Arabidopsis thaliana: one gene and its partners. The protein of the gene in region 1 interacts with the protein of each later gene in a pairwise test. Each region holds a gene or a part of one and is shown on either strand. Other genes may lie near its edges.

Evidence for each region.
Region 2: the proteins of ASG1 (region 1) and VAMP714 interact in a two-hybrid assay, tested with the Arabidopsis thaliana proteins (one large-scale study listed by BioGRID).
Region 3: the proteins of ASG1 (region 1) and AT5G03970 interact in a two-hybrid assay, tested with the Arabidopsis thaliana proteins (one large-scale study listed by BioGRID).

Annotation. Positions count from the first base shown.
Region 1 is NC_003071.7:10,242,849-10,247,606, forward strand, and holds ASG1 (ATP-dependent DNA helicase), read left to right. Parts: upstream 1-1,896; 5' UTR 1,897-2,072; coding exon 2,073-2,207; intron 2,208-2,292; coding exon 2,293-2,532; intron 2,533-2,598; coding exon 2,599-2,772; intron 2,773-2,855; coding exon 2,856-2,962; intron 2,963-3,042; coding exon 3,043-3,293; intron 3,294-3,373; coding exon 3,374-3,867; 3' UTR 3,868-4,146; downstream 4,147-4,758. Other genes in the region: PRPL35 (Ribosomal protein L35), read left to right, coding at 491-568.
Region 2 is NC_003076.8:7,403,419-7,407,460, forward strand, and holds VAMP714 (vesicle-associated membrane protein 714), read right to left. Parts: upstream 2,466-4,042; 5' UTR 2,237-2,465; coding exon 2,017-2,236; intron 1,910-2,016; coding exon 1,719-1,909; intron 1,551-1,718; coding exon 1,387-1,550; intron 1,052-1,386; coding exon 961-1,051; 3' UTR 586-960; downstream 1-585. Other genes in the region: AT5G22355 (Cysteine/Histidine-rich C1 domain family protein), read left to right, coding at 1-338; QQT1 (P-loop containing nucleoside triphosphate hydrolases superfamily protein), read left to right, coding at 3,169-3,260, 3,568-3,612, 3,688-3,767, 3,858-3,932, 4,022-4,042. UniProt on the Arabidopsis thaliana protein: Involved in the targeting and/or fusion of transport vesicles to their target membrane.
Region 3 is NC_003076.8:1,070,863-1,075,256, reverse strand, and holds AT5G03970 (F-box associated ubiquitination effector family protein), read left to right. Parts: upstream 1-1,767; 5' UTR 1,768-1,885; intron 1,886-2,271; 5' UTR 2,272-2,279; coding exon 2,280-3,536; 3' UTR 3,537-3,751; downstream 3,752-4,394. Other genes in the region: AT5G03980 (SGNH hydrolase-type esterase superfamily protein), read left to right, coding at 1-111, 225-1,052.

The DNA of each region.
Region 1 (4,758 bases):
GTGAGTGGGTTTTGCTGAATGTTTCAGCATGTGGTATGAATCGTTAGGAAAAGAACATGCTCTTAGCAAACAAAAACTCATGTTATCAACCCAGTTATGACTTGTTTGCTAATGTCTTGGTAGTAAATATACGGTTTCGTTTGTCGAAAGACATATTTTTGAACTTCAAACCGTGTCTTTCATTGTGCATTTGCCTCTGTGCACCTCTCGCTGAATCTCTTAAATGGGGGATTAACGCTATTGGCAGAATTATACCCTTGATATGGAAACCATGCGATTGATATCTGCAGTGGCTTTCATTAGAAATGTGGCTAAGGGAGAAATCTATTATCATCAACTAGTATAAAAGAAAAACAAAACTAAATCTTGTGGCATCAATCTAATGATCACAAGTTCAAGTTATTACTTGTTTTGGCTTTGTTAATTAGCAACTTCGCTGCTCTGTTCTCTCTTACACGTTTAGCTTTGTGTTCTGTCTTCTGTATTGCAGACGGAAGTGAACCGGAGCGACTATGACAACGTGATCGGAGCTCTGCCCTACTTGAAAGTCAATCGAAAGGCGACTTAAGCAGAGCAGGCTTGATCCTTTTCTTACCTGCAATTCTCATTTTGTAATCTAAAGTTGTGGTAATATCCTTTTGTATTGTGATATAATTTGGTCAATGAGTTGATTTTTGTTTCATATTTGTGTCTTCTTTTTCTTGTCTCGCATGACAACTATTCTAGGTGTAACATATACCTCATCAACGAGTTTGGTCATTGATCAATGATTTGGGTTAAGAAATCAGAGACAGATATATCTTAAAAGACTTCAAAGTATTATAATCACACCAATCTCACTTATGACACTTTTCAAGTCTCACAACCCAATCCATTATTTTTTTGTTGTCAAAAGCATTAAGATAAAATGCGGCTGTGATAGTGACTCACTAGCTAATGCATTGACAATGGGAGTTCATTAGATAAAGAAAAAATACAGTACAGTGTAATGTTTACTATATTAAATGTTCGGTTCTCCGGCCAAATAGATGTAAATCTTTGAGTAATTAAAAAAAAAAAATGTTCACTAACTCTGGATTTAGTTATATGGGTTGTCAAACTTGTCATTGCAACAACATTCTTATAAATTATAGACTATAAAATATAAATCATGATCAATATTTTATTTTACTTACCTATATTAAATTAAAATATCCAAATTTAAAAAATTCTAAACATAAAATTGGAAAATTTAAATCAAAGTGACACCTAGTTGTAAAATTTTAATAGATTTATTTTTTAATGTCAAAAATGCAAACACAAAAAATATTATAATCATCTTTTTTTTTTACATATATTAAAGTAATAAATTATGATTGGATTCATATGTCAATAATATATATGATTGATTAAAATCTTCTAAACCTTTTCTATTTTGCACTGTAAAAAAACATTTTCTATTATAAACAAAAAGAAATTATTGAACACTTTAGATGATGTGTTAACACATTAGTAAACTAAATATCCTAAGACACTTGATATTTCATCATAAAATGTAAGAAAATTGCTAATTCTTGGGGGTGTTTAGCAATTAGCAATCTTTTATAAATGTTAAGACACTTGACAGTAAACTTAAATATCCTAAAGACACTTGATATTTTATAATTTATGATGAAATATCACATTTTAATTTGATACAAATATTGGAACCATTTTAATTTTATAATATGTGACGACAAAAACAGACCAAAGCCAAAGAAAGGAGAAAGAGAAATTAGATAAGAAGCTAGCGTCCGAATAATATGACACGTGTCAAATTATCCATCAATAGCCGTCATTAAAAAAGCAAAACGTGGGACCTAAACAGCCTATCTCAACCAAGTATTGAAATAAGGAATGACAAAAATAGCCTCCTACGTAAAGACACCATAAAGGCCAATTCGGGTACTTTCTAGAAACTCAACATTTGTTTCTATTAAAAAAACAAATCTCTCAAGCGCGTGGCTATTCAATCGCGTCCTTTTCGCGTTCTTTTAGATCTTCAAATCAAAATTCGTTACTCTCTTAGATTCTCAGGGTTTTGTGTTTTTTGGATGGTGGAGATGATGAGATCAGAGAATCATCTAAGACAAGCTTCGAAGCATCGGAACAACAATTTTCCGGTGAAGTTAGAGATCATTGAAGATTCTCTTGAAGAAGAACACGCTCCTCTCAACAAACGATCCAAGGTTTTTTGTTGAGAAAACTTTTGTTTAGTACTTTCATCTTTTATAAAGTTTGGATTTTTATTGTCTGGGTTTGAAATGAATTTAGCTATGGAGCAATGGAACAAGTGTCTCTAAGTTTAGTCTACTTGAAGAGCCAAGTCCTTTGGGGTTGAGTTTAAAAAAGAGCCCATCTTTTCAAGAACTGATTGAGATGAAACTTTCTCAAAGTGGTGATGACTCAAATTCGGTTAAGAAAGAAAGTTTTGGTTTTGGTGGTGTAGGAACCGTTGAGAAGCTTAAAGCTTCTAACTTTCCTGCTACTATTCTCAGGATTGGTCAATGGGAGGTGAGTCTTTCAAAGTTTGTTTTTTATTGGTGTGTTTTGGAATCTGATTTTGAATTTTGTTTGTAGTATAAGTCAAGGTATGAAGGTGATTTGGTGGCGAAATGTTACTTTGCAAAACATAAACTTGTGTGGGAAGTGTTGGAACAAGGTCTTAAGAGCAAGATTGAGATTCAGTGGTCTGATATTATGGCTTTGAAGGCTAATTTGCCAGAGGATGAACCTGGAACCCTGACTATTGTGGTACGAAATGAATTCTTGTGATCGTTTCGTTTGTTTGCTCGACCATCTATGTTTTAATTTGTTATCTTTGTTCTGTTTTTCAGCTGGCTAGGCGGCCATTGTTTTTCAGAGAAACTAATCCGCAGCCTAGAAAACATACTTTGTGGCAGGCGACATCGGATTTTACTGATGGTCAAGCTAGCATGAACAGGTAAGAACATTTCTTATGTCCTTAGTCTTAACTCGTGAGTATAGGCTGATAATGGTTTCTGTATCTTTGTGATATGGTAGGCAACATTTTCTGCAGTGTCCCCCAGGGATTATGAACAAACATTTTGAGAAGCTTGTTCAATGTGATCATCGCTTGTTCTGTCTAAGCCGGCAGCCAGAGATAAACTTGGCCGCACCGTTCTTTGATTCACGACTATCTATATTTGAGGATCCCTCAGTGTCTGGATCTCATAATATTGCATCTCCTGTTGGGGCTCAGTCATCATCAGAACATGTGTCTCTATCTCATGACGCACTATCGCCTAGCTCAGGTATTTTGTTTGTTTCCACTATCTTATCGTTCACATTCGTTTCTCTTTACTTGTGGTCATACGTTCTTGTTTATATATAGTGATGGATGCTCGTGCAATCGAAGGAGTTGGTGGTTCCATTGATTCGAGGAATACAAACGGTTGGAGTCAGATAAAAATGCCTGGACTACACCAATCTATCTCGATGAACGATTTCCTTACGTTTTTGTCAGATCAAGCTTGTGAAAACAACCAAGAGTTTGAGGAAATGAAACAGTTACTGCTAAGTGACAACACTCAAACCGATCCATCTGATGAGAAGTCTGTCATGTCAAAGGTGAATTCTTTCTGCAACCTCTTGCAATCTGCTGCAAACTCACAGCTCAATATCGAAACTGCTGATACCGAAAGAGTTGTTGGGGTCGATAACAATAGACACATGCCCGAAGGAGGCAAAAGAGTTGTTGACCCTGCTTCAAGCAGCAAGCCACTACAAGGGATGTCAAGGAAAGACTCATTCAGTGATTTGCTGGTGCACCTTCCTCGAATCACATCACTCCCAAAGTTCTTGTTCAACATTTCAGAAGAAGACTAGTAGATAGTGAACCGAAAAGTTCTTGTTCTAGGAATCTTGAACAAGTAGCTGTAAATCAAATTATCTCTCTCGTTCTTAAGGATTTGGAGGAACTTTTGTGTTTGATGATGAATCCTTGTAAAGAAATGCTTTTGTGATGGCGTTTTCTAAAAGCCATTTCTTTTTTTGAAACATTAACAAAACTTTATTATTGCTTTCATCCTAAACTCGTGTTCTTTGTTATCGTATAGAGAAAGAGAGGCAGAACAAGTAACTTTTCTTCACAAGAAACATTTTTTCCTTCGAAGACGTTTCAGTTTTAAACATGGTTTGTTTTGGTTTTAATGCACCTCTTCACTTCCCCCAAGCGTTACTTTCATCTACCTCAAAGTTTTAAATAGAGTAGACGAATGGAGATCTTTACATGATTCGTTCTCTCAAAATCTTAATTTGTTTGATTTCATTTATGAAGCAGAAACAAGTTAATAGACACATAGAGAGATGATACGCTGCACAATGCGGACAGTGCTACAAGAAGAGATTTATAGAGTCTTAAGAGTCTCAAGAAGCGTACAAGGAGATGAGGAGTGAATCACCAAAACAAGTGGTTTTGGTTTGTGAATCACCAAAACAAGTGGTTTTGGTTTGTGAATCAGTATGGTTTACCCAAAACACTTGTTTGGTGTGTTTACTTCTGATCTCTTCGTACTCTTCTTGCGATTCTATGACACTCTACATGTAACATCGGCATGGTTTACCAAAAAGCCTTCAAGGGTGCAGGAGGATTTTGATTCTTAGAGAACATTGCTATAAAGCCGATGTTCATTGCCTCAAGGTAAAAGGCTAAAGAGTTGCAAGGAAGTCGCTGATTTTATCCAAGACTACGAAAGATTCAAAAATATAAGGCGTGTC
Region 2 (4,042 bases), on another chromosome or scaffold:
TTTCCCTATGCTATGGCGAAAATGCAACCGGAAAATATTGGTGTGATATTTGCGAGGCGGAAACAGATCCAAGTAAGTGGTTCTACACTTGCTCTAAATGTGTGGTTACTGCACATATTGAATGTGTGCTTGGAGACTTTTCACGTCTCATGCCAGGACGCATCATCAACTACAATAATGTTAGAGTTGAAGTGGTTCTTAACAGCTATAGTTCTCGCCCCTTCTGTGCAAAATGTCACTCCAGATGCAGAGCTCCTATCATTCTAAAGCTTTGTGATCCATATACTGGATACATTTGTTCCGATGCATGTGTAGTGCCCGACTATCAATACAGCTAAGACAACTATGTAGCTGTTTATTTCACTCTATTGTTTCTCGTAATTTTTTGGATGTAAGAGTTTATTTCCAACTACAAGTGCTAAGCATTCTGGTTATATTCATACTGTGTTCATCAGTACAGGCAGGATTAAACTGTATCGATGACATATATAAAGTCGTAACAAGTTATGACAAACTTGCTAAAAAGGTAGTAGCAACTAATATGATTTAGTTAATGAAAACATAGACAGAAATGATGGAAACAGATATTTGTGAATCAGAAATGTTATTAAACAAAGATGAAAACTGAAGTAATTTTAACAACAAAAATAACGAATATGTGATGTACATTGCAAATGCAAAAATTATAAAGACACAGCGGATAAAGTTTTGGAAATACAGAGAACAAACTCACTCACGTGACTAAATCTAAAAGACAAGGCAAGAGTTCAATGAACCTCTGTATCATTTTGATTTTGACATTTACAAGAGTTACATAAGCAAGGAGGACCATGACATGTAACTTCAAACTCACAGTCATTTTCATGACAAAACCAAGGCTTCAAATCGAAATGATGCGACTGAGTTGATTTACAAAAACAGTGGTCCGTTTCAGTATACCTTAGATAAGGCCGCCAGATTTTAAGATCTGCATGATGGTAAAGTGATTCCTCCGCAGAAAGATGCGATTATTATGTACAGCAAGAAAACTATCAAGCATGTCAACAAGACCCTGCCGAACACAAACAAGAAAAGCAGTTTTGTTGATTAATAAAAGTGATCTGGAACTCAAGCATCAAAACAAAACAATAATGAAATTTCTTTAAGCAGAGGTGGAATCAAGGCAGTGTAGTTCCTATCAGCCAAAAATTAGATATTTTGTCGAGGAGAATTTCCCAAAATCGAAAATAATGTTGAATCTTAGAACTACTGTATCTCTAGTTTAAGAAACATATCAATAAACTATGCTGCAAAGGCGAGTTGAAACACCTAGAATGTAGAAGAGCGTATCTCTTAGTTAGCAAAGAAAAGGAATGAAGAGAATCTAGAAGTGAGAGAGATCCTTACAGGAGCTTAGCATTTTTCATCCAAAGAGCTCGGCGAAGGCGCTTAGATTGCTTCCTGAAGTGAAACGAGCTATCTTGCATTGTTGCTGTTTTATCAACAAGAAGCTCAATCCTATCACCTCTTTCCATTATCTTCTCAATGTTCTCTACCATGACCGATCGAATCTGTAAACACGATAACACAACAATGAGATAACAAACTTCATCTTTCACCCAAGACAGATTTAAAGAAGCCTGTGTGAGCCAAGAAGGCGTAATAACTCATAAAAATTCAACCTTTTCAATGGATATAGCTGAGTAATATCTAGAGATCATACGAAGAAACAATTATACCTCACTGACTTCTCCTCTAACACGATTGAGAGTATCAACACTAGGATTACTAGAGAAGAACTCCATCTGCTGATGCAAAACCCTTGAGAATTCATCATTCATTGCATAAGCTGGAGCATTATGAGCCACTTTGCCATAGTTTTTCATGAATCTCATATGAATCTCTTCCAAATACGAAAATGGAACCCTCCCTGAAAATCCAATCACCAACACATCAAAACATAAAACTCAGAATCAATTACAAAGACTAAATCTTCTTAAGAGAGATTACGATTCGGAGAAAGTGAAAAATACTTACTTCCAAAGGTATCATTGGCCATACAGAGAAAGGTAAGACCATCAGATCTAAGAATATGGAAGATATAACGATCTTGAGAGAAACAAAGTCTTTCATCGGAGATTTCCGGTGAAAGCTTCTCGAGGATCCGTCGCACCACGGCGCCTGTGTTTCCCGTAACGGCGCTGAATTCAGCTAATACCACGGTACCTCTCGCTACAACAGCATAGACAATCGCCATCGGAGAATCTTCAATTAGAGTGATTCGATGACAGAGAGTGGAGATCACGCGCTCCGGCGGCGAGAAAGTTCAACGTCGGCTTTGCTGCGATCAGAACAGAGTATAAAAATGCGAAGTTATAAGGTTAGGTGCAAACGTTTCGAATATAACCCCTTGTTTTATTGTTACGTTTTTAATTGTCACCTAAAATATTATTTTGTTACATTTTAAACCCTGATGCATCGGTTTACGGTTTACCAATTTATTAGGCCTTGGTAACTTATCCGAAAACAAACCGACCCGAAATTCACTTTTCGGTTTGGGTTCGGATACTCCAATAATAACTTGATCGTTTCCTTCTTTTTAATTTCGATTATCCGGTTCGGTTCGAGTATAGCACGAATAAACCGAATTAAAATTAAAGCCCTAATTTAAATATACCGATCGAGTCTTCGGCGAGCTTACTTCGCCTTGAATCGAGTCTTCGACGAGTCTCCGGCTGCGAGTTTCTCTTGCTCCGGCAAACAGACCTGTCATTGCTTCTCTCTCCGGCTAACTACACAGGCGAGCTTCTCTATTTATTTTCTTCTGTGTCTCCAGTTGCTTCTGATATAATGAATATGCTCTTGAAGCAAATTGTTTCTCTGCTTCTCTTTCTCCAGTGAATTGTTTGTTGTATTATAAACGAGGTTTAGGAATTGGGTTAATAATATTGGAGGATTGTGTTTGTATTCTGTGTCCGACGAACAAATGACATTTCCGATTTCTATTGTGCTACGAGCTCAGTGTTTAGAAGGGTTTTGATGTTCTCTATTGAATATTCATGTTATGTTAGTTTGATGATTAGATGATTTTGCTTTGCAATTACTGTGTTTTTTTGTCTGACTGGCTCTGATATTATACAACGTGTTTGACTCCGATTGGTATCAATCTTCTTCTTCGTCTTCAGAAGCATGGTGTTTGGACAAGTAGTAATAGGTCCTCCAGGATCGGGAAAGACCACTTATTGCAATGGAATGTCTCAGTTCCTCTCTCTAATGGGCAGGTTTCATGTTCTTTCTCTTCTCTTCTCTTTTTGGATCAAAGAATGAAGCTTACTTGGCTTTTGTATCTGTAATTCTGTTTGTATTGATTGTTTCGCTGTCCCTCGCATTGTAAAGTTTACAAGTTGCAAACTTTAGTAAATAATAGTGTTGAATTCCAGAAATTTGAATTGTCTGACTTTTGAGCAGAGTCATTGTGAAATGTTGTTGCCTTGTCTTTGTTTTTGGTAGAGAGATTTGCAGATTCGTGAGAACTTCTCTGTAAGTAAATTCTCTTAACGTTGAGTTACTATTTTGTTGTTGTTGCAGGAAGGTTGCTATTGTTAATCTGGATCCTGCAAATGATGCATTACCGTATCCTTTTCAAGCCAAATACAACAAAATTGTTAAAAATTGCAGGTGTATGTTGTTTCTTGACATTGATTTTAGTTATGAGTGTGGTGTGAATATAGAAGAATTGATCAAGTTAGAAGATGTTATGTCGGAACACTCGCTTGGTCCTAATGGAGGTGAATTTTGCCATCTTGATTTTCCCTTTTCTTCTTACTTTTGATTTTAATCTTTGGTCAAATTAACAAAGAAACTTTCTAATGTGACAGGTCTTGTATATTGTATGGAGTACTTGGAGAAAAACATTGACTGGCTGGAATCTAAACTAAAGCCTCTTCTGAAGGGTTAGCAACGATATGTCCCTTCTTCTTCTTCTTCTTTTCGTGGTCATAATATCTCTTTCTTAAAGTAAAACGTTTTGAATTGTTTGCAGATCATTACATTCTCTTTGATT
Region 3 (4,394 bases), on another chromosome or scaffold:
TTTATACTCTTCGTGTCCCTTGTTCATTCATCGGATCAATGTCCTATCAACTCTATCTACCAATTCGGTGACTCCATCTCCGACACTGGAAACTTAATCCGCAACGGCCCTGTTGGAGCCAGATCTTCTCACGCCGCTAATTATCCATACGGTCAAACATACTTTCACCAAGCCACCGGTCGTCTATCTAACGGACTGCTAATGATCGATTACTTGGCACGCAGGCTTCATCTCCCACTCCTAAACCCTTACCTCAACGGGAACACAACGTCTTTGTTAACTTCGGAGTTTCCGGAAGCACAGCACTCAACAGCTCTTTCTTCTCCGAGAGAAATCTCCACGTTCCGGCAACAAACACTCCTCTCTCCATGCAGCTTGCTTGGTTCAAGGGTCATCTACGTTCCACGTGTCACGGCTCTTCTTCGGATTGCTTGAAGCACTCTCTTTTCATGGTCGGTGAGATAGGAGGCAACGACTACAACTACGGTTTCTTCCAAGGCAAACCAATGGAAGAAATCAGAAGCTACATCCCTCACGTGGTTGGAGCCATCACAGCCGCAGCTAGAGAGGTGATCCGTGCTGGTGCGGTTAACGTGGTCGTCCCGGGAAACTTTCCAGTGGGATGTTTTCCGATTTACTTGACGTCTTTTCCCGTGAAAGATACAAAAGATTACGACGACAACGGTTGCTTGACGCATCTCAACGAATTCGCAATGGATCACAATAACCAACTCCAAGAAGCTATAGCTTCTTTGAGAAAAGAGTTTCCAGACGTGGCTATAGTATACGGAGATTACTACAATGCGTTTCAATACGTTCTACGAAGTGAAAGATTCGACAAGAGTGTAGCTTTGAAATCGTGTTGCGGGACCGGTGGAGCTTACAACTACGACGGAAAGAGGCCATACGGAGCAGTGGGAGTTCCGGTGTGTCAGAATCCACACAAGTTCATAAGTTGGGACGGAGTGCACTTGACTCAAAAGGCTTATAGATTCATGTCTAAGTTCTTGAACAATCAGATTCTTTCACAGATCAAGTGTACTAGGGCTTAATTACGAGCGTTATTTTTTAGTCCCTCCTCGATTTTTTGTTAAGTTATAAATCTCTACTATTTGTAATAATATCTTACATCCTTAGATTTTATTGATTTTTTAAGATATGTTTTTTTTTTTTTTGAACAACAGATTTTTTAAAATATGTTAGCATCCTTTTTTACTTATGAAGATCATATAAATCGTAAGTCCAATTTCTACTAGACAATCTTATTTTAAATGCATACCTAACTGCAACCTCAAATTTCTCAATTGCATTAACAAAAGTGACAAATGACATTCCTAGAACAAAAGAAAACAATTATGTTCATGCCACAAAAGAGAAAAAAAAAAAAAGAACAATATTTCAGAATTTAATCTCGAATCGAATATAGAGAAAAACACAATTTGAAAGAAAGAAAAATCTTCGTCGCTTGTCAAAAAAAAAAAAAAACGAAATCTGTCCCGTAGTTTATAATTTTGACCGTTCGATTATCCCTTAAATCTTGTCCGTCGTCAGATGAAACCAGAGAGGGGATGTCAGAAAAAAAAAGGTTAAAAAGCAAATAGCATAACCGGTTCACATTTATTGTAGTAACAAATTGACCTAAACCCTAACGAAATCGTACCAAACATAAAAATAATGTAAATCAAATTAAAGCAATTCATCCAATCAGAATTCTGGATTTCCATCAATCCGAACCAAATTTAAACTGAACTGAACCCGGTTCAATCGCAACGAGATCCGGTTAGGAGAAAGTACTTGTCCCTTTATATTGTAGCATTGTATAACTTTAGTCTTGTGAAGAAACGTTTGCATCCCTTCTCTGCGTTCAGCGTTCGTCGTCACCAAGGTTCTTCTCTCTCCTCTTTTAGCTCTTGTATCTTCCAATTTCTTGACGTAATGCTAAGTCTTTTTTTCTACCTTAGTGATGAGTCTCGCTCTGTAATCGTTTCCTGTTCTTAAAAATCGTAACTTTGAAGCTTAGGGTTTCAGAAAAATTTCTGCGAAATTCTCCGACTTTTGTTCTTGTTCCTCATGGGTGTAACCAAAATAACATCTTTTGTGATTTTGCATGCGTTTTGGTAGATTCTCTTTGGAGATTTTAGGTTATTGAGTTTTCTCAATCCACTAGATACTTGAAATTGATTTGTGTTTCTTTGTAGCTTGTGGGTCTTTTGATTCTGTGTGGTTGTTTTGATTGTGTTGGATTTCTATTACTGATGAACAAAGAAACAGTGTCTGCAATGTCTTGTTCTGCCAGGTTAAAAACCAATTTGGGGATGACTTCTGCTCTGAGTACTCATGAGGTTCTTAACAGTAATGATACTATGTGTGAGATTCTTATCCTGCTTCCACCAGAAACGATATACAAGCTGATTTTGGTGTCCAAGAGATGGCTTGAGATTATAGCCAGCCCTTGCTTCCGTCACACTTACTTAGCCAAGTGGAAACCTAATTTTGAACTCATTGGCTTCTTCGTCTGCAGCTCAATGTACCTTGGAAGACGCATAGATGGAACTCGTCGCCCTCGCGCTGAGCCATCTCTTCCTTTGCTCTCAACCAGCAGTATTGGTGATGAAATTGAATCCTCTGGTATTCTGAAAAAGCTTGGATACTACATCGACTCTGCAGATGGTCTTCTACTCTGCGGCCGCCATCCAAAAGCTTACTACTTGTGGGATCCGAGTACACAGAAGCAGCAGCAACTTCCACGTCCCAGAGTTCATTTCGAAGAACTTTGTATGTCTTTGATTTCTGAGGATAGTCCTGATCAAGGGTTTAGCTACAAGGTGGTCCGGGCAGAGTGTGTAGCCTTTCCTGTTAACAGTACAAAGGTGAAGGTAGAGACTTTTTCCTCAAAAACTTCTACGTGGAGCTACTCAGAGCTTATTTGTCTCGAGCCTCTATCTCTCAGCCCGTGGACTCCAGGGAGAGTGATTAAAGGCGTTGTTTATTGGCATGCTAGAGGAGGTAAAATTGCCATATATGACTCAAACAGTGAGGAGAAACGGATTGATGTGATAAAGCTTCCGAAAACATATGACTATGATGAACAGGTTCTGGGAGAAACCGATGATGGGTCTTTACAATACGGATGGAGCAATAAGTCGGTAATGGAGGTATGGAAGCTTGAAAAGGTAGGCAATGTGCTTGAATGGAACCTGCTGTTTAAGGTGAATTTCAAGGCGATGTGGAAAATGAACCAAGCGGTAGCTACAAGATTCAGCACTTGGACTAAAGAAACGCAGCTGCTTGCGCTCTTCAATCAGAAGTCGGACTTGGTGTACATCAGATGTGATACACAAATCTTCATCTATCACACAGAGACTAAAAGGGTCGAAGTAGTTCAGTACCAAGGACGAAAATCGACACTCGTTTGGGATTTCAACAAAGTGGTGCCTTACTTTCGACGTACCTGGCCTTGTTCTCCTCTGTTTGAAAACAATGCCATGATGATCGACACTCCTCAATGCAACGCCTCTTCCGCAGGAAGTAACTAAGTAGTTTATGCTTTTAATCAGTTTATGTATGTAGGCTATTCAACTATCTTTTATGTTTTGATGCTGAAGGTTTTTGGTTTTGGCCATTGATGAACCTCTCATGGTTTTGATGTATTCTCTCATGGGTGTCATTAAAGACTCTGCCTTTTTGCATTTGCGTTTTGGATCTGCGTTTTGTGGTTGACTCCGTTTGTAGCTAATTTATGATAATTTACACATAGAACAAATGGTTCAATCTAACAAATTATAAAACAGATCAATTTATTTACACAGATAATCGATGTCACTTGTCTACATAGTTCTTAAGTTATAGGTTGATCCAAATAGTTTCAATATTATAAGTTGAATTAATGGGTCACTTGGAGAATGTCCACATTCTTTGAAATGTAATGACGAATGTTTGTTCTTTCAATTTTCTAAAAAACGAATAAACATAATAATAATTATAAAGTCATGTAGTGATCTAAGAAACAGATCATAGTTTCTCTCTATGTAATCTTAGGTACAGATAATAACTTTATGATCTCATTATTGGTACATTGATTTTTTTTCTATTTTCTTTTTGCTTGCAACCTTTTTCTTCCCTTTTATCTTTTTATGAATGATGAAAATGTTATGTTAAGATATTTGTAAAGATCATTGATTTGAATAAATAGAGACCCGTCTAAATATGCACCAACAATTCTGACTTCAAGTGAGATTTACATTTCAAAATTATGCATTATGCCTAGAAAAAAGATGATCACTAATATTGTTGGATTTGAAGGGAAAAAGAAGCTGGTGTTAAAAGAGTGGTGGGACATTATGACAACTCAAAAGGATCTTTAACTGTGTTGAGAAACTCCAATGCATTATTTA